Linked DNA regions of Coturnix japonica. The protein of the gene in region 1 binds, or shares a complex with, the protein of each later gene. Links are inferred from orthologs where the notes say so. Each region holds a gene or a part of one and is shown on either strand. Other genes may lie near its edges. The genes, in order: MTA3, CHD4, CDK2AP2, HDAC2 and CHD5.

What was found.
Region 2: MTA3 (region 1) and CHD4 share a complex: the UniProt entries of both Homo sapiens proteins name them as parts of the nucleosome remodeling and deacetylase (NuRD) repressor complex. The link is inferred for Coturnix japonica from reciprocal best matches to the Homo sapiens genes MTA3 and CHD4.
Region 3: MTA3 (region 1) and CDK2AP2 share a complex: the UniProt entries of both Homo sapiens proteins name them as parts of the nucleosome remodeling and deacetylase (NuRD) repressor complex. The link is inferred for Coturnix japonica from reciprocal best matches to the Homo sapiens genes MTA3 and CDK2AP2.
Region 4: MTA3 (region 1) and HDAC2 share a complex: the UniProt entries of both Homo sapiens proteins name them as parts of the nucleosome remodeling and deacetylase (NuRD) repressor complex. The link is inferred for Coturnix japonica from reciprocal best matches to the Homo sapiens genes MTA3 and HDAC2.
Region 5: MTA3 (region 1) and CHD5 share a complex: the UniProt entries of both Homo sapiens proteins name them as parts of the nucleosome remodeling and deacetylase (NuRD) repressor complex. The link is inferred for Coturnix japonica from reciprocal best matches to the Homo sapiens genes MTA3 and CHD5.

Annotation. Positions count from the first base shown.
Region 1 is NC_029518.1:21,328,268-21,333,895, forward strand, and holds part of MTA3 (metastasis-associated protein MTA3), read left to right. Parts: intron 1-3,608; coding exon 3,609-3,755; intron 3,756-5,628. UniProt on the Homo sapiens protein: Acts as a component of the histone deacetylase NuRD complex which participates in the remodeling of chromatin.
Region 2 is NC_029516.1:69,351,398-69,357,539, forward strand, and holds the start of CHD4 (chromodomain-helicase-DNA-binding protein 4), read right to left. Parts: upstream 3,671-6,142; 5' UTR 3,579-3,670; intron 2,744-3,578; 5' UTR 2,680-2,743; coding exon 2,583-2,679; intron 648-2,582; coding exon 520-647; intron 365-519; exon of another isoform or gene 333-364; coding exon 141-332; intron 1-140. UniProt on the Homo sapiens protein: ATP-dependent chromatin-remodeling factor that binds and distorts nucleosomal DNA. Acts as a component of the histone deacetylase NuRD complex which participates in the remodeling of chromatin.
Region 3 is NC_029520.1:565,715-570,672, reverse strand, and holds CDK2AP2 (cyclin-dependent kinase 2-associated protein 2), read right to left. Parts: upstream 2,902-4,958; 5' UTR 2,774-2,901; coding exon 2,704-2,773; intron 2,513-2,703; exon of another isoform or gene 2,475-2,512; coding exon 2,398-2,474; intron 2,302-2,397; coding exon 2,169-2,301; intron 2,083-2,168; coding exon 2,015-2,082; 3' UTR 1,843-2,014; downstream 1-1,842. Other genes in the region: PITPNM1 (membrane-associated phosphatidylinositol transfer protein 1), read right to left, coding at 214-335, 407-621, 1,390-1,467; CABP2 (calcium-binding protein 2), read right to left, coding at 3,275-3,300, 3,461-3,608, 3,702-3,811, 3,900-4,034. UniProt on the Homo sapiens protein: Acts as a component of the histone deacetylase NuRD complex which participates in the remodeling of chromatin.
Region 4 is NC_029518.1:58,987,917-58,993,313, reverse strand, and holds the end of HDAC2 (histone deacetylase 2), read right to left. Parts: intron 3,971-5,397; coding exon 3,840-3,970; intron 3,379-3,839; coding exon 3,223-3,378; intron 2,441-3,222; coding exon 2,383-2,440; intron 2,179-2,382; coding exon 2,148-2,178; 3' UTR 1,792-2,147; downstream 1-1,791. UniProt on the Homo sapiens protein: Histone deacetylase that catalyzes the deacetylation of lysine residues on the N-terminal part of the core histones (H2A, H2B, H3 and H4).
Region 5 is NC_029536.1:532,552-538,179, reverse strand, and holds part of CHD5 (chromodomain-helicase-DNA-binding protein 5), read right to left. Parts: coding exon 5,612-5,628; intron 5,136-5,611; coding exon 5,011-5,135; intron 4,406-5,010; coding exon 4,174-4,405; intron 4,085-4,173; coding exon 3,959-4,084; intron 3,847-3,958; coding exon 3,674-3,846; intron 2,948-3,673; coding exon 2,773-2,947; intron 2,459-2,772; coding exon 2,372-2,458; intron 1,933-2,371; coding exon 1,844-1,932; intron 1,693-1,843; coding exon 1,559-1,692; intron 1,385-1,558; coding exon 1,240-1,384; intron 79-1,239; coding exon 1-78. UniProt on the Homo sapiens protein: ATP-dependent chromatin-remodeling factor that binds DNA through histones and regulates gene transcription. May specifically recognize and bind trimethylated 'Lys-27' (H3K27me3) and non-methylated 'Lys-4' of histone H3.

The DNA.
Region 1 (5,628 bases):
CAAAGAACAGGATAGTGAAGAATTAATATCCGCTGCCACAGAACTTTGTCTTTCTCCTCTGGAGTTTAAGGAAAAAGACAGTGCTAACTTCCTGTGTGCATCCCAACCATGTGCTCTATGTTACCGATGTACAGAAGGGAGAAGAGAAAGGCTGCTTCCACTTACCGGAGGAGCTGTGGTTGAGGGAGGGGATGGCTCATCTGGCTGACCGCATATGTGCGGCCAGAAGAAGAAAGGACAGCATGAGTGTTTTAGGAAATGCTGTATGTTTTTAATGCTGCTTTGTCTAGACTGAAAGGGACTGTCCTAGTACACCTGGAAGCACAGGTCTATAAAGTTAATGGGAGTAAATGGATGGATGATCTTAGATAGCATTATGTGCACTTAGGTGATGCTTTTGTGAAGATGATTAACAGTGCTAAAATATACAAGGTATCTGTAGAGTCCAGATAGCTTCTGAATGAGAAGTGAAATATCTCAATACAACAGAAGTCAAATAATGTCTGTTATAGGGAGATGAAGTATACCCAACATAGTTCTGGGCATACATCTAAGCTTGCTGTGTGAGGATGGCTTGAAAATGGCATTTTTTGGGTGGGAAGGGAAGGCTGGGAAGTAATAGCATGTTCCAGAGAATAAGTAGTGCTTTCATTATTTATTTTCAAGTTTAGTGTTAAATGTCATGTGATACCTTACACAGGAAGTAGTTGTTTTCCTTTTAAAATCAAGGCCATGCCCACAAGCATTTTTTGAAATGCTGCTAACTGTGTCTCACAGACTCAACTCTTTTGAGCCCTACTGGTGAGACAGAAAGGATATCAATGCTCTGCACATTCTAGGTCATTGTCTTCCTTTCTCTCTTCTGCTTCTGGGCCACCATTTCCCCAGGTGGAATAGGTTAAGTATTAAAAGTAAGCCCTGTCCTCTAGAGAGCTGGAGTTAATCCCCTGTAATCTCTTCAGTCTTTACTGTACTTACAAAACAAACCCTCCTAAAGTGAGCCCCTGGATAATTAAATGCCCTATATTTCCTCTTAGTTACCAGGAAGCTAGTCTAGAGTTTCCAGCAGAGATGCATGCTGAGAAGAGATGAGAGAGATCTAGCTGCTTAAGCACCTATGGAATTCAGGCTGTTAGTTAGTTAAGTGACTCAGCAGGAGACTTCAACTTTTCTTAACTTGCTTTGTATATGTATATAGTACCTCAGTGACATTAGTGGAAATGGGAGTTTTTAAGAGTTTTTATTGTTTTACTTGAGGCTGCAAGCCAGTTTCGTAACAGAGGTTCCTAATATGTAATTGGAGTATTTTTTCTCTTCTCATTTCATTTTTATTTTAATTTCAGAAGTGATCATAGTGTCTGAATCTGGCCAGTTGGTTATTTGTTCAGTAGCTATTGGGATAATTTGGATTATTTGCATGTTATATTTACTTCTCTAAGTTAGCAGAAGCTGCAGATGGATAGGAGATTTTCAGTGAAAAAATGTACTAGTCAGTAGAATAAAGGTAATAGCAGTGGGAATAAAAAGATCCCTAAAAGTGCAAATATTTGAAGCAAATCTGTAGGTAGAGAATGAGAGCAAATGGTGTAAAGACCCTAAAGGAAGGACTCAAGGTGTTGAGAAATGGTCCTGACTGATTAATAGTTTCATAGAAAACTTGGTCCTGCTACTTTACTCATCTACAGAAAGAGAAAAAACAGCCTTAGTGGCAAACTGGGGATTAACGACCTCCAAACTGAAAAAACATCAAAGGAAGGAAATGCATCCTTTCTCAGCTTTTAGCACTTCCTGGAAATACAAAGTTATGTTTCCTTTATACTGTAGACAGGAGTTTGAGTTCTAGTCTGTTGATCCAGCTCTGGGGATTATTTTGTTTGCTGCTGGAGCTCTTTTGCAAATAGATAATGGTATAGTGGTGTTAGCCCTGAATATTAATCATTTCCTTCTGAAAAGTGAAAGAGATTGCCAAATGAGCATTTTAGAATCAGAGCTCTTAAGTAAACAGTGACAACATCAGAGATAACAAACTAGCCTTTACATGTGCAGCCTTACAGGACTGTCTTGCAGACACCAGCACCCTGCTTTTAATGCCTTTCTAACAACTAAAAACATGTTATCCTGCTCTACTCTTTTTAATCTGAATCACTTGAAGCATACAGGGTAAGAATGCTCATACTTTTAAGAGTAAGATTATGTGCTGTGGCCAAATCATTGGACAGTTAACCATAGTCTTCCAATGCAAAGTTTGTTGGTGCTGTCCGTTTTCACTGTGCAGCCTGACTCCCTCTGGCCATCATATTCCTTTCTATAGATAAAACTGTTTGGCTCTCCCACCTCCCATTTTCTGCCTATTAAAGGTTACTGTGGCTGCCTCAGACTTTTCCCTGACTCCTGGTGTGGGTAGGTGTGAAGGCTTGCAATGAAAATGGGCATGTGGTGCACACTGATATTGGGTTATGGTACTTATGGAAGAAAAATAAAATGCATTATTGGTGTGGACTTTGACTCCTGTACAATGGTTTCTCCTGCATAATTACTATGAGTAGCAGAGGCTGGGGGCCATCCTCCTTGACATCATGCCTCCTTTTAGATGTTGCATATTCCCAGCTCATGCACTTTATTTTATAAACAAAAAAAAAGCAGAAAGGAACACTCTTCAGGTGCAAACCTGGGCTACAAGAGTGCTTCATTTTTATTTTTTCCTTCTTTTCTCACTTTTTGCAGATAGCTGACTCCTGATCTGCTGGCCGCCAGCCTCCCCTGCCCATAGGGTCTTGCTCAGTGGGCATCTCTGACTGGCAGGGGATTCGGGCAGGCCTCAGCTGAGCCACAGGCCTCAGGCAGCCTGTGTGCCACTGGTTGCTGCTGCTCAGTGCCTTGTGCCAGCTTCATCTGGCAGGTTACTGTGAAATTTCCATACAACTGCACCAGCTTTTGGCAAACACAGCAGCTACCCGCTCTGAATCACGTTGGGCAGATGAGTTTCACTGCCTTTTATGTACTGAACTTATTCCATCTCTGAAATAATCCTCCTGCATGTATTCTTTCAGATGTTCTTGAATATTTGAATCCATAATAATGGTTCTGTATTGATGCTGCAGTATTGGAGTAGTGCTGTAGCTCTCTCCCTGATCCTTGCATCTAGCAACCTGTATTTCAGATGATCCTTTAAAGCTTGCTTTTTTGACAGAAAATTTTGAATAAGTTAAGACACTGAGGGGGCTTCACTGTTGTAAAGTGCTTTTGTTTCCTTGACAAACAATTTGTAGGTGTGTAGCTAAAAAAAAAAGGAGGAAAATGAAAACACAGGACTGCTTCAGTTTGTTCTCTATTATCTCTTCAATTGTGAATACCTTACATCATTGCAGTAAACTCAGGAAATCTAAAATTAAATTGATTCATCCTTATCTGGAGGAACAATAGGTATGAAGATGTGTTCAGATTGTTATTCAAAGTCCTATAAACACATTCATGCTGAAGAAACCCACTTCTGTTTTGCTAGAAACCGAAGTGTAAATTTTAGTAAACCAAGTAGACTGAAAGCTTTTTAAATCAAGTCTCTCTCTCTCTCTCTCTCTCTCTCTCTCTCTGCCTTTTGTCTTAAGCAGAGATTCACCCTGCGGCGAAACCCAATGTAATCAGATCAACACCAAGCCTTCAAAGTCCAAGTACAAAACGACTGCTTGCACCCTCCAATCATTCTTCACTAAGTATTTTGGGAAAAAGGAACTACAGCCATCATAATGGTCTTGATGGTAAGTGAAGGAATATAAGAGATACGTTCTGTAAAATTTCTGAATTGCACAATTTTCTGTGGACCTGAAACAGCAAAGTTTTATGACTTTCTGTAGGGTATATGTTTTTAAAAAATGACATTAAATAAGAAGGCACAGTCATAGAAATCTAAGGTATAGACAGTGTATTTTCATCATTGGCTCTTAATGCAATTAATGGTGATGCATATTCACTGAACAAGGGTTTTCATCAGTGCCATTAACGCCATGTCTTACAAAACCTATTTGTACCATTTTTCTTACTAATCTTTCACCTTTACATATAAGCATAAGGAAAAAATTAAGCAAATATAGTGAAAAGAGAAAGATGCAGCAAAAGCTTTACTTTGCCTTATTGCATTTTTATTTGAAGAAATATTTTGCAGAGACATGCATTGCATTTCTTGAATTCTTCTTGTGAGGTGTAACCTCTGTAAGCAATTAGATTATTTGCTGTATGGTGCTGCAAGCAGAAAATCTGGAAGAAGTTAGGTTCTGAAATAGGCTGTTGAGATGTGATTAGCACAAAAGAGGTGACTTTCTGTTTTTATGTTTCACTGGTCAAGGTAGAAACGAGAAAGATTCATTTTAGATAAGATAATAGAAATGCTATTCCAAATACAGGAGGGAAAGCTCAGTCCATTATTTTACCAGAACAATCGTGCTTTTCTGTCTTTGTCAATGTCATTTGTATCCTGCAGTAAAAATACCTACTGTGCATTTAGTAATACCTAGAAATCAATACATTTTTCGGAAAAAGCAAAATAAAATACAGTATATGTATGACGGGATCACTTGGACCTTTGCTCACTGTGCAAACAACTATCTCATGGCAGGCAAATGACATGCACAGCAACGCAAGCTATTCAGTGGACTAAGATGACAACTGTGTGATAAAAAAGTGATATCATTAATAGGCATAGCTATAAATGCAGTGCATTTCACATAACAGAATTTTCACTATGAACATTCATTGTGAAGTACTGTAGTGACGATCTGGTAATTTCTGCATGTGATTGTGAACAAAAGCTGCTTTTTCTCCTCTCTAATGCTGGCCATTAGACTGGACTATCTTTGTAATCTTTGACCAAAGAATGAATTTCACCTGGAAATAAAGATTTTTCCACAGCAAAGAAAGGTATAGCAATAAGTTCAAGGTAAACATTATTATGATGATATCCTTTAAAGAGCTGAGCTTCATAACATTTTTTTCTATCTATTCTGAATGTTCTCTTCAACATAAAGTATTTATAAAGCTTGTTATTAGCTACATTGATTCATTTGTATCAAATACATAACTGTGTTAAGGCAATTTGTACACAATAGCATCTAATTTGAAAAATTACTATTGAGAACTGTAAATTGTTGCTTTAGGAAATAATTATTTCTACTTATCTATTTTCTATTAAAACATAAAGGAAGCATATATCCAAGGTAATAGAAATCTGGAAAGTGTATTTTGTTCATGTAAGAATGGCTATTTTGGATTTTGTACTACTTTTTTCTTTAGTTAAAAGCTTGCAAAGTGTAGTCGGTGCAAACTGCAAAACAATTTCTGACACACTGGATGTGATACAACAGTGATCATGGAAATGTAGTTTTCATTAGACTACTTTGTTCTACTAACTTCAAACAGAAGTTGAATAAGCACTAAATTTAGTTATTGGCCAAAACTTATGCTTTTGTTGACATATCCTCAAGTTTTTCTTAGCAGATTCTTCAGCCTAAAATCACTTGCATTATCATCTTCTGCCACATATCAGCCTTAACCATAGTTTTTATTTAGGATCATTGCTGGCTGTGGTCACTTGGATCATCCTAATCTCCTTTTTTCAGTAGTGGTTGTGGTCCTCTT
Region 2 (6,142 bases), on another chromosome or scaffold:
ACAAGGGAAATAGTCACATCAGGTTGTTTAGAGGATAAAAAAATTAAATTGTTCCCCACTCCATGTGCTGTCTGAGACTACTAACCCAAATCCACATGGAACTGGGAAATAAGCAGTAAGCCAGCAGGTTAGCTTCTCACCTTGGAGTCATCATCTTCCTCCTCCTCCTCTTCTTCCTCCTTGCGTTTTGCTTTGCTTTTCTTTTCCTTCTTTGGCCCTAATTTCTTCTTTTTCTTCTTCCCAGGAGTGTAGTCGCTGCCCTCGCTGTCAGAGCGCAAAACCTCCTCTTCTTCCTCCACAAACTCATTGCCCTCACCAGAACTGTCCCCAAGCTGGGGAGGGAGGGAGAGAGAAGATCAGGCAGCTGTGAGAAAACACCCTGGATAAGCACTAAATGCCACACTTCCCAAGCTCTAAAGGATTCATATAGAGGACTGCTGTCACAGGTCAACAAAGCAAGCCTCCTCACCACAACGCAATCATATTTTAGAGTATGATCTGTGGCATTCTTTCCCTCACCTCCTTCTTCTGACGCTTGCTGAGTTTGGGTACTTTGGGTTCCTTTAGCTTCTTGGGCTTCTTTTTCTTTTTGATTTTGAGTGTCTCAGCCTCTGACAGAAGATCTTCTTCTGGCTCTTCTTCATGCTCTGGAGGGGAAGAGGTGACATCTCACTCAAAGCCCATCTATGCACTACAGCCCAGCATACTTCTCACAGACATCCCTGAATCTGCCTACTTCTTGCTACATACTTACAAACACAGAAGAGCTTGCTCACCCTATTATTGCTTACACCTTGTTACTGTTCACAACACTTACAGTTAATCATATGGCAAGGTACTACCATACACCCTCTCTCCAACAAGGCCCACTTCCACAACATTCCTTCTCCCAACTGAGCAGTTCCTAGGGACCAGAAGTTTGCTCTAACTGAATAAGAAGAGGGAAGGGCACAGAGTAGATTACCATAACTAAAGGAATTAAAGCAGCAAGTACATTTAGCAAGTATGTTTGAGACCTGAAGATAACGTTTCAGTCCTCCAGAATAAAAAAAGTGTTCTTCTTTTCACCAGAACAGAGTACCCTACAGCTTACAGACATTAAAATACATTCATAACACAGTCGAGCAAGCCACTACTTGTCCTCCCCATAGGTAAGCCGCTACTTAGCAACTCAATTCTAATCCAGACTTGATATAGCCTTCTCTCCACCCCTTCCCTCTTTGTCAGCAGCTAGCAAGCAAGCGCCCAGCGCAGGGACAAGCAGCCAACTCCCCATCACCATCCCTTCCATCTGTGCCCCTACCTCTCCCAACCCCAGGGAGAGCCGGGCAACCCTTTCCTTTGTGGCAGGCTCAGAGAGCAGCCCAGCCATTCGCTCTCCCCTGCCGCCCCGCCCATTGCACACAGCCAGAGTCACTCCTTCTCCCTCCAAGGGAAAATGGCCTCCTGACCACAGGAGCTGGGCAGGATGGAGGCAGCCTCAGGTCAGGTAGCTGCAGCAGGCAGACAGAGCAGAAGTAAAGCCCTCGGAATTTGGGGTCTTGCAGTCCTGCCACCGTGCCAACTAATTAGCAAGTCTTTGCTCACATAGTCCTGCAACACCAGCTCATATGGGGATTCCACACCTTCTCCAGCTAATTCAGAGCTTAAGTATCCCACCCCTTCCAATGCTTTTCCCTAAAGCTTTCAGGTCTGCAGTGATTTTAACAGTTTGTTTTCCTCAACAAGGCTTCCCTCACAAGGCTTAATGACCATCTCCCCTCTACCTAAGAGGTACCAAATGCAGCTCAAGTCAATACCCTAAAAAAAAGCCAAGCCTTCCACAACATTTTGCCTCTCCACTTGTAACGTTTTCTCATTTGATATTACAACACTACAACAGGCATGTCTTGGTGGGAAAACTCAACAGGCCAACACATCAGAATACATACAACCTCTTTTTGCAAGGAAACAGAGAAGCCCGATGCTTATGGCTTCCTTAGTGCACGCATCAATAACATTCAAAACAGCAGAGTACCCAGGGCTCTAACTCCAGTCTCATGCAGATGAGGATGCAAGCAAAAGGGACAAGGCAACAAGGTAAGGTACAAAGACTATGAGAAAAGCAAAGGTGAGTAGGCAGTACAGAAAACGAGCCACCAGAAGCCTCAATAATTGGGTGTGGCAAAGAAAAAGTGGGTCATGCAAGAGCCCAGGGCAGTTTGCTCTGGACAGCAGCAAGCCTGAGATCCCAGATGAAACAGCCAGACATCCTCCCCTTTCACATACACAGCCACCTCCCCCAATCCAGGAATATGAAACTCAGACATTTTGGTCAAAATTAAGACATAACACTGACTGCTCACTCCTTCCCAGAGCATGAGCCCCCACTGACAACCTATGGTATCTCGGAACAAAGTCTGCTCCACCTGACACAAAGCCACGAGCCTCACACTTGGAACTGGGATTCCAATAGTAAAGATCAAAAACATACATTAACTCCTAGCTGAAGGGACATTCCTTCACAGAGCATTTATTCCACATATCCAGCCCAAGGAAAGCATTACCCCACCTCGCACGCTTGCCCTGCAGGCCCTCAATACCTTGATGCTGGGGGATAGCGTTGTTCAACAGGATCTCCATCTCATCGTCATCACTGCCCCCCGAGCATGGCGACGGAGATCCGATGCCCGATGCCATATCCTCTGAACCAGGGGAGGCCCAGGCTCACAGAAGTGCTGCCTTCCTGCCGGTGAAGCCAGTACTTCATTGAAAAGAATTAAGAGAAAGTTATAGCAGATGCAAAACGCGGTTTCCCAAGCAATAGTGCAACCAAAAGGATTCAGGAGAAAAAGCTTAATGATTTCATTACACCGGGAGCCGCCAGATAACATGTACTCTGGCAGCAGGTATCACATCAGAGTTGTGATGAAGCAGGCTTTAAGACAGCAGACGTTAAACTGAGTCAGCAACTCATTCCTCACAGGGAGCCAAAACAGCTGTCCTATAGGGAACATCCTCCTGCCTCCCGCAGCCGGTGCCAGACCGGAATGAGCGCCCTAGGTTATTTCTACCTTCGCCTGGGAGAAGGCGGGGAGCGGAGCCGGCCTTCCCACGGGCTCCTTGAGCCGCCCGGCGTTCCGTCAGGGCGGCGGCCGGCGGTCCCGCAAGGCGGCGGAGCCCTCCCGACCCAACTTGGCGGGCCGCCCGCCGCGCTGCCCCCGGGACCGACACAAAAGGCCCCACGGCCGCTCCCCCGCCCGGAGCGCAGCGGGGCCGCAGGGCGGGGGACGGCTCGGCGGGGGCGCGGGGCGGGGCCGGGAAAGTCCGGCCGGCGGGCGGCGGGGGTCCGGCTCTCCGCGGGGCCGGCTCCACACCGGGGCCGCACGGTAAGGCCGGGCACGGCGGGGCGGCCGCTCGTCGGGGCCGCGCCGGGAGGCGGGGCGGGCAGCGTCCCGCGGCCGCCGCGGTCCCGGGTCGAGCCGCGACCGAAAAGCGGCCGGGGGAACAGGCACCGGGGAGAGCCCGCGGGGCGGCGGGCACAACGCGAGGCACGGCGGAGAGGCCGCGCCCGCCCTCGTTCCCTCCCAGATCCTCACCCGGCTCCAGACGGCAGCTCCGCTCCGCTACCGCCGCTGCTGAAGGGAAAATGGCTCCGGCCCCGGCACCGCCTCTTAAAGGGGGGAGAGGGGAAAAAAAAAAAAAAAAAAAAAAAAAAAAGAAAAAAAAAAAAAGCAGGCTCCACCCCACTCCCGCCTCCATCCCATAATATACCCCGTGAACCTGGCAACAGACCCCGCCCCCGTATCCCCGGCAACACCCCCCCCAGCCGAGACATCCCATAATATTCACTCTCCCCTCAGAACTTCCCACTCGCCGCCCGGCCCAGCATCCCATAATACTCGCCCTCTATCCCCCCTCGGGTCCTTCTCTCCCTCCCCCCCCCCATCGGGAGCATCCCATAATACTCCCCACCTCTAACCCCTCGCTCCGGCATCCCATAATACCCACGCCGGACCCCCCCCTCCACGGACACCTCCTGGGGGTTTAAGCAGCCGATCCCCTCCACATCCCATAATAGTCACACCCCGGGCACGCATCCCATAATAGTTCTCCCCTCCCCCTGCGCGGGCAGGCATCCCATAATAGTCGCCGGGAGCCACCGGCCAGCCTGCCATCCCATAATACCCGCAGCGGGGCTCCGACACCGCCCCGCCCGCAGCGGGACGGGCCCTCGGGGGGCACCGCCATGGCCGCGGGGGGCACCGCCATGGCCTCAGAGCTCAGAGCTCACCCAGGTGTCCCAGCCCGCACGCCCGGCTCACACCGGGTACGGTCCCCCGGGTCAAGCAGCCACCGGCTGCACTGAGTGTGGGTCTCCCGGTGACCTCTGCCGCTGCTGGACCGTACGTCGGGGATGTAACGCGAGGTGCACAACGTGGTAGCGCCCTAAAGCTGTCCCCGTCCTAAAGGAATGCGGGGCATCCCTGCTCTGCGCCCTGCTGCTGCCCTACACCTGGCACCATCGCCTCGCCCGTACGCCCTAATTGCACACACGTCGCCGTGCCGTTAATGGTCACTGTATGGCACCGCTCGCCCCATGGCACCTCCGTTAGCTCGCCGGGCACCCAGCCCTGCCCACCTCAGCCCATGAACAATGGCTGTCAGTGTCTGCTGGCTCCTCCCCTGGAGCACCGCCGCAGCATCCCGCGCTGCCCATGCACACAGCCGTTCCTCCATGCACACCCTGTGCCGCTAGCACAGATGGGCTGGGCGGTGTGGAGCCCAACTGCATTGTGTTCCTTCGTGTGCTTATGGAGCCCTGCTAATACAACCCTGCCTACACAGCCCTCTGACCTCTTGCCTTACACAGGTGCCGCCCTGTCCTCTGTCCCTTTGCATTGCGTTGGTTCTCTCAGCCCTACAGAGGACAGGCAGCAGTAAAGGGCTGCACTGTGCACACCTATGCACAGGTAAGTGCAACAGAACACCGTGCCACTGCAAACAGCGGTGTGCAGGCTGGGAGCTCTCACACGGACCCCAGCACAACTCCTGTCTTCCTTCTGTGCACTGACAGCTGCCCGTGAGGGCCAACTAAACCGAACATCTAACAAGATCATAAGAAACAGTTATCACAGGATCCCTACAATGTAACTCACCTTGCTGTTGGATGCTCCCACAGCTCTCACATCCCTTCACCAGGCCAGGTAACCCAAAGGCACCATGACACTCCATCCCAGCCCTGCTCCCGAGGACACCCTCTCACTCTGCCCCCAGCACCAGCCTTTATTAGCCCACATCCCGCTGGACTGCACAGACATGTCCCTCCAGGTTAGACCCAGAGCCAAGCACATCGCACTACGGTCCTTGCAGGGTGTCTCGCTGCTGTGAACACCAGCAGCCCTTCAGAGACACTGAGGCACATAGAGAGGGCAGCCCAGGCCTGCTCTCCTGTGTAGGGCACAGATAAGGCACCATGACAACAGCTTGCTGGTGGTGCAACAGTACACTCGTGGAGGTCAGTTTGTTGGCTTCTGGCTGTTTGCTGGTAGCGTCTATCGTGCCCAGTAAACAACACACACATGTTAATGGTTTCAAGAGCTGAATGCTGCCAGGACACCTCGGTACTGCCTCAGTGGAAATGAATCCACTTATTTTAGTCTTCTAAAATCAGTATCATCTGATGTTTCCATAAACGTGATGCTGTCCCTTAATTGCTGTAGGTGCATTTCCCTTCCTTCCTTACCTGTTCTTTGCAGGTCTGCATCAACGTGAGCCCAGTGACAGCAAGCTCTGCTTGGCAGCCCTGCAGGTTCTCCCTGTCAGATTGCTGATGCTGTAACCCTGAGCCAAGGCCTTGCAGTCCCTGCCCATGATCCTGAGGATCTCAGGACTTTCAGAGAAGCCTTACCTTTGTTTTTCTGGTGTTATCAGGGAATTTAGTCCCAGATCATCCCGAGAGGGGAGGGGGTCAAACTCTCAGGTTCAACTTTTACTTTGAAATTTGTAAGAAACCAAGTCAACCTTTCACTCAGTATTCAGTTATTGTCCCAAAGTCTGTCTCTATGTACAAACTTGTGTCCTCAGTATCGGCCAAAGGAAGTTCCTCAAGCCTTCTCCAACACAGCTGAGCTCTTTTCCATATTTCTGCAGTCTCCACGGC
Region 3 (4,958 bases), on another chromosome or scaffold:
AACGACACTGTGCAGAGTCCTGGGGGGCAGGAGAAGCAGAAGACAAAATGGGGACACAATTCCTTAGCTCCCTGCCTCCAGCTGATCCTCAGGACTGGGCAGGGAGCTCAGGGTACGGGCACTTTCCCCTCCAAGGATAACTTAACCTGTCCCTAAAGCACAAGGTTAGCAGAGAAAGCCCCAGATCCTGCCTCCTGCCCCCGCTGCACGCACCTAAGATCCTCTGCCTCTTCTCAGCAGCACTCAGATTGAAGATATTGGTCTGCTGGCCGGCATCTGGCCGGTAGTACGTCTCAATCTCGATGGAGAACTTCTCCACAAAGGGACAGGTGTACCTACAGGAAGCATGGGGATGAGGCTGAGCCCAGCGGACAGCCCCCAAACCTACATTCCTATGGGGTCCCACCTTGTCCTGGTGTAAGGATATGCATTCCACGATTCCTCTTCGACTCTCAAAGCTGCCTTGGGCAATATTGACCGAAACCAGCTGGGTATGTGGGAGCCCACATGGTAGATCTTATGGGTGTACTGCCCGCTGCCACCGGGGCCATCGCTGTAGGGGCGGTTTGCCAGGATCTCCACCCCGCTGCCCTCGCCGCTGGATTCCTCACGGCTTTTCTTCTGCAGGGTGAGGGTGAGCTGAGCTCCAGCACCCCAAACCCTGGCATCTTACCAGGCATCTAACGCCACCCCCCCACACCCCATTCCTCACCCTGCACCCCCACCTCAGCCCCATAGCTATTCCCAAGACCCCCACTCTGCACTCTGAGAAACAGGCTCAGCCCCATGCCTCCACATTCTATTTCCACAACAACTCCAAGCCCCCAACCCCGCACCCTCCTCAGCCCCCAACCCTGCATCCCTGCACCCCTCAGGCTCCATATTGCCCTCGTATCCCTATTACTCTTAACCCCCACCACTTCAGATCTCCAATCCCGCAACACGCTGACCCCCACCCTCAACCCCTTCTCACCCCATACCTCTCAGCCCCAAATCTCCACCCTCAGCCCTGGGCTCCCACACAACTCCCAGGACCGCATACAACCCCCAAGCTCCATACTACCCAGAAACAGCCCCCTCCAGCTCTGAATCACCCCAACCCCCTCTCTCTCAGCCCCATAATTCCATAGCTCCCCATAGCCCCAGCTCAGCCCTAACCCTCACTTTCTGCCTCATCCTCCTGCACTCCCCCAGACTCCATAAGAGACGCCTCCATCCCCCAGACCATCCTCAACCCCCCAAGCTCCACATTGACCCCCATATCCCTCAGCCTCGAACCCGCTGACCTCCACCCTAAGCCCCACATTCCTGCACCCCCCCACGGCTCCACACGATCCCGGGCCCCACACGACCCCCCCCCCCGGGCCGCAGCCCAGGCCCCATCCGCACCTGGATCATGTAGAGCTGCGCTACCTGGTACTCCTCCAGGCTCATGGGCAGCAGGATGTGGTACTCCTTGATCAGCATGGCGCCGTGTTTAGGGGAAGGGGCGAGGGGTGGGGGGGGCTCCGCGGCCCTCCGCCGTTAACCCGGCCCCGGCCCGGCCCGCTTCGGCCGGGCCCTCCCCACTGCCATAGCAACGCGCCCCCCGCCCGCTCGGCCGCGCTCTCGGCTCCCTTCGGCTGTTTCCGTCACCCTTCGGCTCCTTTCGGTTCCCTTCGGCTGCGCTCGGCCCCTTCCGAACCTGCGCCGCTCTGAGCCGGCCCCGCGCTGTGTGACGTCACGGCGTGGGGGGCGCCCGCTGACGTCAGGAGGTGGAACAGCGTGGGGGGGGGCGTGACGTCAGAGGGGACGTCAGAAGCGGGGGGGCGGCGGACCGGGAAATTAAAACGGAGCGGTATATATGGGGAATTGGGGGCTTGGAAGGAGGATTTCCTTTATAAGGGGGGGGATGCAGCACGTCCTTTATTTATAAAAGCCGGAAGGTTGGGGCGGGGGGAGCCCCGGGGGTGGCCCCGTTCGGGGGGAGCCACCGGCGGGGCTCGGGGGGGGGGGGGGGGTCGGGGGGCTGCTGTCACGTGCGGGCGTTGCGCTCTGTCTCGGCCAAGCACTCCCGAACCAGCGCCCGAGCGTGGATGATCCCTGAATGGGGGGGATATGAGTGAGCACTGAGCTCCGGGCTTAAGGGGGGGGGAGGGTCACAGAGGGTCGCCCCCCGGGCTCGTTACCCCGCTTGAGCCGCTCCATGGCGCTCTTGCTGCCGGCGTAGGTGGGCCGGATCTCCCTGCCCATCTCCTCGATGACAGACAGCAGGTCGCTGTAGGTGCTCTGCGAGCCCGGAGCGCCGGGCGGCTTCATGGTCTGACAGGGGATGGAAGGCGAGGAGGACGGAGGGGGGGGGGCTCAGCGTCGCCCCACGCCGCCCTCCCGCCGCGTGCCCCTGCCCCGCGGGCTCACCTGCACGTAGCCCATGGACGGCGGCCCGAAGTCGTTGAAGAGCGGGCGGAAGGCGGACGGCGAAGGGACGCTGGGAGCTGCGGGGAGCGACCCCGGGTCCGGCCCTTCCTTCGCACTGGGGCCGGGCCCGTCACCCCTCAGCCCGGCCCCGCTCGGGCCCAGCTCCGTCCGCTCCCTCCCTCAGCCCCGACTCCCCTCCGCACTCTCCGTCCCTCTCCCTTAGGCCCCGCCGCCCCTCAGGCCTCGTGCCCCTCCTTACGCCCTCTTCTCCCCCCACCCCCGCTCTATCCCCGGGGCTCCTCTCACCGGCGGCCGTGGCTGCGGGCCCCGGGGCGGGGCTGGCGCTGGGTGCGGGCGCGATGGGTTTGTAGGACATCCCGCAGCGCTCCGGGCCGAGCGGCGCCCGCCGTGTGCAGGAGACGGAAGCGAGCGGGGCGACCCCCCCCCACAACCTCCCGCTGATTGGTCAGACGGAGCGACCCGGCGGCGCCGATTGGTCGACGGCACGAAGGGAGCCGGCCTGCGCTGTCGGGGGAGCGCGGTGATGACGTCACGAGGCGCACGCCGCCGATACGCAAACATGGCGCGCCGGGCTCCCATCACCATGGAGACCAGCGGCGTCCTGCACCCCCCCATCACCCCCACCCCCACAGCGAGGGCCAGAGGCCTCCCCCGGCACTCAACGGACGGGCACACGGCACCCGGCGGCACACAGCTTCATTGCGAACCGGCAGCGCTGCCAACACACCGACACGGGGCTCCAACACCGGAGCTCCCCCCCCACACACACCATGAGGGGCAGCGCAGGCCCGGGAAGGCCGCCTCCTCCTCCTCCTCCTCCTCCTCCCGGTAAGGCACGGCGGCGAGTCCCGGCCCTTCAGCGCGACATCATCCGCACAAACTCTGCACAAAGAACCACAGCATTAACCCCAAATAAAGCCGGCAATAAGCCCCAAATACAGCTGGCAATAGGGAGGCCCCCCCATCCATGGCTCCATTGTCCCCCAGTTAAAGCTGGGATCAATAGGGCCCCCCCCCCCTCCTTCACCCTGCCCCCATTTACCTTCAAAGTCCACCAGGCCGTCCCCATTGAGATCCACGTCCTTGAGGATCTCGTCCACCTCGCGGTAGTTGAGCTGCTGGCCCAGCAGCTTCCTCATGGCCTCCCGCAGCTCCGCCATGCTGATCTGCCCGTCCCCATTGGTGTCGAACTGCCCCATAGGAGACCCAGCATCACCACTGTGCTCCCAGCACTGCACCCCCTCCCCTCCCCCAATCCCGGCCCTGCTGCCCCCAGCCCTCACCTCACGGAAGGCATCGCGCAGCTCCTTGATCCCAATCATATCCGCTGTCTCCGCCAGCATCTTGGGGCCCATCAGCTCCACAAAGTCATCAAAATCCACTTTGCCGCCTGCTGGAAGGACCAAAGGGGGATTACAAATCAGCGGGGGTGGTACCACTGTGGCAATATGGGGTTACTTCCCCCTTGTCCTGGCACCTACTGATCTGCTGGGACAGCTCAATGAGCTCCATCTCGGTGGGCATGTAGCCCATGGTGCGCATGCATTCACCCAGGTCCTTGTAGCTGATGTAGCCATCGCGGTCCTTGTCAAACTCCTTGAAGGCTTGTTTCAACTCTAGGGGCAGCACAGGGAGAATGGTGACACCTATAGACAGCCATGGGGGCACCCTACAGGTGGGGGCAGGTGAGGACGAAGGGAGCAGCACTCAGACAGGGACTGTGAGGGATAGATGCTGAGATGGGGACCAGCATGGGGAGCTGAAGAGAATGGGTGTGAAGATGGGGACTGAATGGGAAAGGTGGCACAATGGGAACTGGGATAGGGAGCCAGTGGAACAGGTGCTGATATGGGGACTGAAGAGAACAGGTGTCAAGATGGGGACAAAGCACATTAAGAACATGAGAACTGGGGCAGGGAGCCAGGAGAAAAGGTGATGAGATGGAAAATGGGATGGAGACACAAGGAAATAGGTGTCAAGATAGCAAACAAGTGGGATGGATGGCACAGTGGGGACTTGGGATGGGGACCCAATGGAATGGGGCAGAGGTTGCAATGGGGATTAATGGGAATGGGCAGAGAGATGGAGACCAGGATGAAGGCTAAGGGGAATGGGTGCTGAGATGGAGACTGAGATGAGGACCCAAGGAAACAGGCGTTGAGATGGGGACTGAGTGGGATGGGTGACACAATGGGGATTGAGGTCGGATCCAGTGGAAGAGGTGCTGAGATGGGGACCAGGATGGGGAACAAGGGGAACAGGTAGTGAGATGAAGATTGAGACAGGTTGAAAGATGGGGACAGGGCAGAATAAGAGGCACAGTGGGGACCAGGGTGGAGGACATAGTAGAAGAGGTGCCAAGATGGGGAATGGGATGGGGACTGAGAGGAACAGGTGGTGAGATGAAGATAAAAGGAAACATGTGGCAAGATGTGGACTGGGATAGGAATTAAGGGGAATGGGTATCAAGACAGAGACCAAGCAGGATAGATGGCACAATGGGGACTGGGATGGAAACCCAGTGGAATAGGTGCTGAGAT
Region 4 (5,397 bases), about 38 Mb from region 1:
TTGCACTTGAATTACATCAGTCCTTTAAGGACAGGTTTTGGCTTTTTTTCCCCTCTTGTCCTCTAGGCTTAAACACAGTCTAACAAAACTGGACCTAAGGCATAAGAGACATTCATTTTGCAGAAGAAACCTGCAAAATTTATAGAAGGGTTAGCAACAGCTTCTCTTCAGAAGGGGAAAAATTAATAAATTAAACTGCTTACGTTTGGAGAATTCACAGTTAATCCAAAGTACAATGTTTAGGTAGTGAGGCTACATAAAGACAAAGGCATATACTTCAGTAGTACAACTGCCTTTAATAGAAATTTGCCAGGACTCAGCAGGATAGAGTAGTTTTAGCACTGTAATTTCTCATGGAAAAATGCAGGATGAGGCAAAAAGATTAACTCTTATTTTTTAGTTCTAGTTGAGGTTTACAATCACATGTATTCTTGGGTTTCATTCATATCTTAACATTATTAAATTTCATTACTTTGTGTTGAAGTGATCCCAAGTTAAAAATCTGGGCTTTTCAATACCATTATCTAGAAATGTTTTTTTGATATACTTGTAACAATGGCATAGACCACAGGTCACTTGAACAAAAACCCTGTTAACAGACACAAAGTAAGGTTATATCAACTTCAAAAATAAATAAATAATAATACACCAACCAATCAACCCACCACCTTAAGACACGTATATAATACAAATATATCTGCTACTTTCAGTTATATAACGTGAAAACTTCTGTAACAAAATTTAGAGTACCAAACTCCTTGGCACTTAGAGGCATGCCTTTGGCATCATTTAGCACTTCTCACCTCTTTGGTATAAACCTGTGACCTCCCTATATTTCCTCAAATCTAACTTTTATCCTTTGCACTAGAGAGCTAGAAGGCATTAGATGCACACAGGAGAACACAAATGCTCACAACTGCACCCAAACCCATGGTCTTGGTCCTTGCATTTGTACTTTTGCTATCCTCAAAGAAAACAGAGAAACAGCATTTTACCACTTTGATACATATAAGTAGTATTTTCTCTCCTTAAACAGTGCATTTCAGTCCACTAGTTCACACAATAGATAACAATAACTTCAATTACCAACAGGATCAGTGATTAATTCACAAACTACTTGAAATTAACAGCAATACTGCAAACTTCAGTGTTCAATGCTCTGTAAGCTTGAAAACAAAGACTATGATAGTCTTGAGAGGAGGAAAAAAGAAGTATAAGTATACTCAGGTTTCTGTGTTTCAGTTCAGGCAACAGAATGAACTAAGCAATCAACAAAGAAAAAATTATGTGTTTTTCTTCTTAAAACAGGGACAACATTTGATAATGCTTATAGCTATTAAAAAAATAAATAAATCAGGACAGATTATTAATTACAGCCAAACCTTTACTTCTTATCTTGTATGTTTTGAAAGATGACCATATAGAAATTTCATTTACAGCAAATTAACCAGTTTTGGGAGTAGATTCTGATGGTGGGAAAGGTTCTTGGATGCTACAAGGCATTTTATCATTGAGCTTTAAAATTTTGTATCAAAATGCAAGTTCCTACAACCACATTATTCTAATATCTCTTCCCCCATTTATTCAACACGTTCAAATCTCATGTACTCATATTATATTTGTTGCTACTCTTGGAAGCAGCCATTGAAGCACATGAAGCAGCACAGTCCAACTTGAATATTCACCATCTGCCTATCTAGATTTATCTGCTACTCAGAGACAAACACAAATCTGCTCAACTTACACGGAGCTTTGTCTTTTTAGTTCAGTGATGGACAGAAGACAACCAAGTACAATTTTTTTTTATTTTTATTTTTTTAATAAAGATAAAATTACAAAAAAGGTAAAATCAGCTCAGGAAAGGCAAATTACTTTAATAGATCAGTTTAGACATTTAACATAACTCACATCCATTTTAAATACTATTACATAAAGCATGGTGAAGAAAGGAATTTCTGCCTCATAATTAGAAAACTCACAATACAACTTGCCAAAAACCAGAACAAAGCCGTTTGAAAATAAATACGGTCCATGCCAAATAGTACAAAAATGAAATCAGCAGTCTTTATCAAAATGAAAACTTCTTCCTTTAGGTATTCTCCAATTCTAGCATTATGTTCTGCAATTGATGTGAGGCTATCTTTTGTTCAAGGATTGCTGAGCTGTTCTGACTTTGCTCTGTACAAAAGCAAAAAATAAACTGTTAAAATGCGTGATTTTTTAGATTAACCATTTCAGAAATGCAACGTAGAGTTAGTCTTGTTCTAAGTGTAAAGTGTTTAGTATTATGAGGGAATCAAGTACCTGTACAGAAATCAATACTTAAGAATACTTTAAGTTACTAGATGTTCTTCAATAATGTGATATTAATTAACTGCTTACCCTTTGGTGTCCGTCTTTTCACCACTGTTGTCCTTGGATTTATCCTCCTCCTTAACATCTAAAAATAAAAATTACATGGTTTGAAATATATGAAGAAATGCAAGCGACCTTCCTTTGGACAGAAAAAAAAATCCGGGACAGCTATACTTCATAGATACAATTGCAACTAAGAGAAACAGCTTCCGGAAAAGAAAAAAGTAACCTTGCTTATTGACATATAACATTAAATGTATCCATCCTGGGGAGTTAGCTGGGCACAGTGCCAAGTGATTCAAAGCAAGTCAGGCATAGTTTCTCTTGACTGGCCAAAAGAGTGTCTGTTTGTAACAAAAACTGCATTTTTCCCAAAGTTTCATGGGGCTCACTATCTCATAGTCTTATGATACAGCCTTTTACTGAAAAGCCCCAAAATTCTTTTAAGTACAGTATTCCTAAAAACCTACCAAGCTTCAGTTTCAGAAGAAAACCAGCAGCCTTACTCCATTAAAGCAAAAAAAAAAAAAAAAAAAGAACATACTTAAAGCAAGATAATTTTTTTATTATTATTATTATTTATTTTTTTTTTAAAACCCTAACAAACCCCTGCCTTATAAAGCTTTGAGTTTGGGGAGAAACAACACTAATCCAATTGTTCAAGTCTGCACAGAAATACTATTTCAGGATGAACAGCTGCATCTTAAAATCAATGATGAAACTGATTAAACTTTAAAATAGTTTTTTAAAATATGATTAAAAAAGTTTCAATAGTAAAATAACTGTTAACAGAGAATGCATCCTCCTTCCAGCAGGACAAATGCCTGCTATTCTAAAAGGTAGGATAAAATAACCATAGAATCCTACCTGCTTTTTTGTCTTCTGTCTCTTTCTTGTCTTCCTCTATCCTAGCTTTCTTTGCTCCTTTCTTGTGATCTGCAACATTTCGCCGTCCACCTTCCCCTTCATCCTCAGAGTCAGAAAACTCTTCATCACAGGCAATGCGCTTATCAGATGCTCGAACTAGGATTTAAGAAATTAAACAAAAAGGTCAGAACAAAGACTGGCTAAATAGACCAAAGAACTACCAAGTTAAGAACTAGTAAAAATATGTTATAAACCAGATAGATCATTTTACTTTCAAAAACACTTAATTCATTACTATTTTTATGAACAGCAAGTCAGAAGCTAAGTCCTTCCATTACAACTGATCTAACACTTCTGGAGTATATTAAAATATACTGCAACAACTTGCTCTATACGACTCAAGTATTCTTGAGCACTTCTTGAGACTCCTGTACGGATTCATATATGGGCACAGAGGCCACTTTAATAACCACAAAACTGGCAGACCAACAGCAAAAGTATTTTTTACTTAGTAAATGAGTTCTCCAAGTGCTCATCTTCCAATATCGCACTTCAGACTGACGTTCTGAACAGTTAAAACTAGGATTACTCTACTTGGACTTCATAGTATCCCTTACTGGAAATGCGTTTGTCTGGATCTTCTCCATCCTCATCTCCACTATCTTCATGAACAGCATCTTCAGGAATGGCCTGCATCTGTACACCAGGTGCATGAGGTAACATGCGCAAGTTTTCAAATAAGCGTTGCCTGTAATTAATACAAAGTTACTACTACACAGAAGTAGTATTTCCTTGGATTTCGTGTTCAATTTGATAAATTCTGCACTCAAAGTTAACCTGCTTTTCTTTAAGAAAGCCTTCAGAAAGCCTTCCATCCACAGCAGATCACCAGTATTCACAGCCTATTTCGATATCACATTCTCTTAAATTTTATACATATACTGTCAGGGAACATCAATCTTCAGTTTTTCATTAGGTCAGTAGGTGTCCTTCCCGCTTGGGCTGACCTGGTGACAGTATTACTCTATTTAATAGACAAGACTATCAGGTTGGGTAATAAACTATTCTCCGAAGAAAGCCAGACACTTAGAGCATGACTATTTCCATGCTGTGTGCAACAGTAAGATCAGGATCAAAAGCGATCCATCTAGATCAAATTGCTTACTGGCTAGTACAGGGAGAATAGACATTCTTGTCCAAGCCAGCTGATGCAACAGATCCCACACTCCATAGACACACATGCGGGAACAAGGATAGATAACCTGGGACTCAAAATTATCAGTCCAAAGCTGTTTGAGTGGAGAGAATTGTTGGGAGATTACAAGCACCAGCATTTGTGACAACTACCTCAGTATCCCCCTGCACAATTCAAAGAATGAAATGGCAACTGAGGTTTTATGAGATCCTTACAGTCTCTGTTTCTATTACATGACCTTCTTCTAAATCCAAATCAGGAACAAAACAATTGTAAACAATGAGTACTTCAGGTTAACCAATTATCTCTTTATTAGATGAGTACAGATTTGATTATTCTTAAGTATTATTCCATTTCTGAAGACCAATATTAGTTTACAAACCTTCATGATGTGGGTAGGCATAAACTGAAGAAGCAAAGCCTAAGAACACAATATCTACAGCTTGTCAATAAGTACTTCACAAATCTTGTGGACTCATCAAACTACAGTCTCTCAATCGCTTGCACACATCTTTCCATAGTTTTTAATGTCTCCTCACATGATTTCTATTTTTAAGGCTGACAGCTACAAAGAATGACAATCACTCGTGTTTGGACAAGGGAGTAGAGAATTTGGAAGCCTAATAATCAGTGCACAGCACAGCTTCTTTCCTGACAGGATAAATTTCTTACAAAATCAGAGTAAGCCAAATAAAACAGTCAACTCTTTCATTTCTGGAAGAAGGGGAAAAAGCCACCGAAACTGAGTCCTAAGCCTTTCTTCTTTAAATACTCAGGACTCATAAGCACAGAAAATGTTGTAGGCACAGATATTTTAATTAAAATTTCATCTTCTGATAAAACGGAAAAAAATGTCTTTTCTATTCAGTACTTTTTCAGCGTGTAGTAGGGAATGGAACTCTCAAACTTGTGTAAATATTAAACCTTTAGAGAAGCACAACTCACACATGTACTTGGCAAATAATGTAAGCACTACTTAC
Region 5 (5,628 bases), on another chromosome or scaffold:
GCACTTCTTGCTCTCCGGGCCCTCCAGAATCATGTCTGGGGTGCTGTACTTCCCATTGACATGCTCAAACTCCTGCACCTGGGGCAGACACACAACAGCAAGTCAAACACAGCGGCCAGCAACAGAGCAGCAGCAGGCCAGCCCCATCCAGAGGTGCTCCTACACCCACCACCCCATGTGGCACACTTTGCTGGGCAGCAGGTGCTACTGCCCATGCCCTGCTGCTTTGCAGGGCAGCACCTCCAGCAGCAGTCCTGCTCTGCCCACATGCACACAGAAAGCCTCCCATGCCCCAGCAAGTCCACTGCAGCTGTGCTGGCTTTGCAGACTTAAGGGAGAGGTACTGAGTTAAGACTGTGTGAGTAGCAGAAGGGCAGCATGCGAGTGACCGTGCTGGTGCCCATGTGAAGCCTTGGCAGGCATGCAGGGTGAGCTGCACCCTGGGGGTGCTCATGCAGTGAGTTCACAGTCCTGGACCCATCATGCCTCCATCAAAATGCTCCTTGCTTCCTCTCCACTCCTCTCTTTCACAGAGTCTCTCTTGCACACCCCGTTCCCTAGGCTGCAATTTGTCACTCTCCACACCCAGCAGAGTAACAGTTGATGCTCCAGACACAGCAAAATCAGGTGCCATCACTCCCAGCATCTGCCCTTCCCCACTGCTACACTGGAACTACTGCTATGATCATCTAATGGTCTTCCTGGGACAACTCTGAGTGCTGCACTTGTCAACATATGGGGAGATCCTCTAAACAAGACAGCTGAGGATTCTTCCATACACTTAACTGCCAGTATCCTCGGGGCTCAGCACATGCCTGGGATTAGCAACATGACCAACAGTTATTCAGTCCCAAATCAAGCCCAAACATCTCTCTGAAAGACATGCTTTGGTTCAACAAGATGCTGGACACAATGCAAGACTTGGCAAGTGGAAGTCTCTGGCCTGTACAGTATAGGAGGTCTGAGTAGGTTACTGTAATAGTCCCATCTGAAATGAAAAGAACTATAAATCCAGGAATTTTTTAGAAGTTAAAAATGTGATTTTGCCACGATTTTTTGCCAACCAAGCACTTCTACCTCCAGCTGACCTACATCACTGAAATACCACAGACGTGGCCGTGCACCAAGCCTTGGAGATTCAATAAGGGGATCTCTGGCAAGGAGGCATTCAGCAGCTAACAAAACCCCCAGGTATCCAGAACGTACCTGAAGGGCACATGTAAGATTTTACTCACCCACCTTCTTCCTTACTAGTGACATAACTCCGATCCGAGTCAGCACGTGCTGGCGAGAAAGACCTTCCCGTGGGACCCCATCTGCAAATGTCTCTGCACCATCAGCTCCAGGTTCACACAAATGTCGCATGAACAGGGAGACATAAGCCCTGTGGAAAGAAAGCAAGAGCTGGCTCTAGCTTGGACCAAGAGCTCCCTGCTGAGCACCCGCAGTGCCTGTTTTCACCAGCGGCCAAGGGCAGAGTTTTGCCCTCCAGCACATGGCATCATGGAGCAGTTTGAGATGAACGCCTCACAGGCATCTTCATGCCTGATCACAGTACCTGAACTCTTTCTCACTCTTCCCTCGCAGATCCCTCACCAGCCAGTGAGAGTTGAAGGCATCCTGGGGCGGCATTCCCCACCGCATGATGGCGTTCAGGAAGGCTTTGCGCTGCCGGGCATTGAACCCCAGAACCTGCAGGGAGCAGAGGTTGGGAGGCCTCAGAAATGATGACATCTCAGAGCCTCACAGCTGCTACAGGTCCTGAGCCAGGACTGATGCTGAAGAGCAGCACAAACCGGACCAGACAGACAAGGGACATGCTTTGGCCAGTGCTGACACTCACTTCAATATTCCCCCCAACTCTTGCCAGCAAAGGAGGGAGAGGTTTGTCCCGGTCACTCTTCAGCTGCCTCCGTGATTGTCTTCTGCCACCTGCAGTCATACAACCTATGTAACAAACGTGCCCAGCCAACAGAGGGATGGCCAAAGACCTAATGCTGATCAACCCCTGTGCCCTAAGCTTCCCATAACCCTTCCCAATGGGAGTGGAACCTGCACACAGCGGCAGTCAGGGTTGTTCAGAGTGCCCTTTCACTCACGTGGCCTCCTCATGCCAGGGGAGGCACTGAAGACCAGATACTGCTACCACAAGGACAAGACCAAAGCCCTACATTAGCCAGCAAGTCATGCTCCCTGTGCTGAGAACTGCCTCACCCAGCAGGGCAAAGAATGCCTCCCCAGAAGCAAGGCAGTCTCTTCAGCTCAGACCTCCCTGCTGCATTTGAGTGCCAGCCCACCCCAAATCACAGGCTATCACTGAAGTTCCTGCAGAGGACATTGTAGATTATCAAGTCCATTAACTCACTCTGACCTTCTGGTCTTTCTTCAAAGTCTTCATCTTCATCCTCAGAGCCAATGGAGTACTCAGACTGGTTGTCAGAGAGCTCGTCCTGCCACTCTGCAGACCACAAGGAGACAAGGTCAGGAGAGAGAACCCTGCAAGCTTGCCTCAAGGGGACAACAGGAGCCCTGACACTGCCCCCAGCATCCAGTCCCAGGTAGCCAGAGAGAAAGACCCAGAAATAAACAGGAAACCAGACTCAACTTTTCCATTATTATTAGTTTCCTTCACAGAAAATAAAAAAACAAACCAGTTTTAAATACTTTGCCCACAGTCAGGTTTCTCCTCAATTCTTTCCCAGTTACAGGCCAAAAGGAAACAAAAATCACAGAGCCTGCTCCCAGACCTGAGCCAAGCAGTCAAAGCCATACCTTGGTCCTCCTGAGAGGCATCATTGTAATTGACCTGCTTGCGGATTCTCTTCCCCTTCCCCAAGTTCCTGGCCAGATCTTCCTGCTGCTGCTCATAGTGGTGCCGCAGCAGCTTCTCCCAGTAGTCAGGGTCCACATTCTCCTCTTGTTTGATGATCTCACGTTCCACCTCCTCCTGCAAAGAAAGGAAACCAAAAAGGCTTGAGACAAGAGAGCTGCAGACCTCCCTGCACCACACTGCTGTGCGTCTTCTACTGAGCTTTAGGGAAGAGGGATGGAAGGAGGGCACTGAGACACTTGCTGGTAAGCAAGATGTTCAGACATGCTTTGACCACCCAGTGGTGTGCCTCCTTCACCCTGCTCTACATGCATGTACACAGAGTCTCACTTTCACCCAAATGCACTGACCTCAGTGCACGGTTATCAAAGGGCTGAGACAACCTCCCAGTCAGCCACCTATACCTAGAAATAGCTCCTGAGAACACTGCCATCCGGCCTGTGCTCACATCCAGGGAACAATCACAGATCCACAGAGATTGCCCTGAATAGCAGCCCACTATCAGCTTGAGAGACAGCTGAAGGAAGTCTGTTAGCTACAGGGAGAATAAATGACAGCAGCACAATGCATGAGCAGCACCGTGCCCTGCTCCCAGTATTCAGAATAGCAGCCTTCAGAAGAACAGAACCAAGTACCAGAAGAGCGATAGGTCACAATAGGTCAGAACCACATTTAGCCATTGCAGTCCTGCTGGCTGCACCATCACTGCTACCATCAGCAATGAGCAGGGAGGAGTACTGCCCTGCAGAGAAACCCCCACAGGAACAAAAAAGGCAGAGGAAGAAGCACAAACAGGGACATACAAACAGATGTGATTATAAGACATGATACTGATCACATTACCACACCATCCTCTTCTCTCACAACATACTGGGCCACTTTAAAGGAGCTGAGATACTCGTTCATGTTCTGCAGCTCCGTGTCATCGGTCGCATCCTGGTTTCGGTCCAGAAGCTTAGAGATAGCAGCATCGTCATAGTGGATCACACTGCTGTCATCCACATCCTTATTGTCACCTGGAGGGCAAAGCAAGGGGAACAGAAAGCAAATCACACTGTGTGCTCCCAGAGCCAGGCAAGATCAGGCTGGACACAGGGCAAAGTCATCCCAGTAACAGGGGCTACAGACCTGGTGGGGTGCCACCATGCTTTTTTTTCATGCCAGGAGTCACTGCACCCCCTTTGGTGGACAGCGTGTCAGAGAAAGGGGTGACGGCATCCGGCATGGTGAGCCGCTGTCCCTGAGACACCATGCCTGCAAGTGGAAGGCACAGGAATGAGCCCCTGCAGCTCCAGCAGGGCTTGGCTTTGCTCTGAGCATCTCCAGCTCCCTCCTGACCCAACCTTCCACATCATCCTTGAAGAGCTCTTCTGTCCCAAACTTCAGGATGTCATCCAGCTCTTGCTTGGTCATGGAGCCTGACTTTGAGCCAAGCCCAGGACGGACCACCAGGTGGGTGAGCATCATCTTCCTTTTGGCCACCTGGGTGATGCGCTCTTCCACGGAGGCTCTTGTCACAAAGCGGTATATCATTACTTTCTTGTTCTGCCCGATGCGGTGTGCTCTGCTGAATGCCTGCAGGCAGAGAACATCACTGCAGAACAGCCAATGTTGGCACATCTGCAGCCAGCCCAGTCTTGGACCCCCTCAGCCAGAAGCTGATCTCAGGCTGCTATGGGGCAGTGGAGCAAAAGGGGCTCCTTAGAGCCAACCTGTAGGCTTTACACTCCTCCTTCCCCCTCCTCTGACTACAGAGCAGGCCACCTTCCTCGTGCATGGCCCCTAATTGAAAGGCTTGAAGGCAGTGCAGAAAAGCTCCTCCTAGGAATCCTCTGGCTGCAGATCAGTCCTTAGATAGGATCTACCACAGCTTTTGGAAATGCAAGTGGAAAGTCCCCAGAACAGGAAGGGACACTAGGTTGCAGACAAACAGCAGGAGAAGGGCAGAAGCTCATGGAAGAAAGCCAGTTTTAGTGGCCAGTCCACCCCTGCATTGCTGACAGGCCAAGGTAAGGCCAATAGAGGTGTGCAAACAGCTCCTGAACAGAACTATGTCCTGCAAACTGCAGGAACCATCAGCAGCTCTCAAGAGGAGAGAGCTCATTTCACTGGCAGAATGCACAGGGGGCCCATCCAGAAAGGTACTTACTGTACTGGAAGGAAAAGAAAAAGTAATAAACCTGGATGTCATTGTGGGGATTCCAGTCAGAATCATAAATAATGACTGTGTCAGCCGTAGCAAGGTTTATGCCCAGACCACCAGCGCGGGTAGAGAGGAGAAAGCAGAACTGCTGAGCACCAGGAGCTGAGAAAGACAAACCCACAGGTGGCAGAAGGTGAGACAAAGGGGAGCTGGGCTTATTTGGAAAGGTGTAGCACAGTGCTTTAGTTATAAAACATCAGGGTCCACCAGTCTAAGCCAAGAAGCAATAGGCAGGGAAGACAAGGAGTAAAAATACATCAACCCCTGGAAATTAGTTAGTGAAGAAAATACAGCTCCAGGTCTGAAAGGGAAGCTCTGAGGCCACAAAGAGAAATGCAGGAGTCTTTCAAGCCAAACAGCCTGTCATTAACAGGCTCAGAGTTTAATGTGTGAAATAACCAGAGGGGCTTAACACACCAAGAGCAGCCCTGCATTGTGCCAGGGCTCTGAGCTTCAGCACTCTGCACTCCAGGTATACACACAGCCCCCACAACGCCTGACCCCTCTGCTGGCTGCTGCAAATTGGCCCCAGCACACAGTGCCCACTGCCACTCCTGGAAGGGAGGAAAAGCACTTACCATTAAACCTATCAATG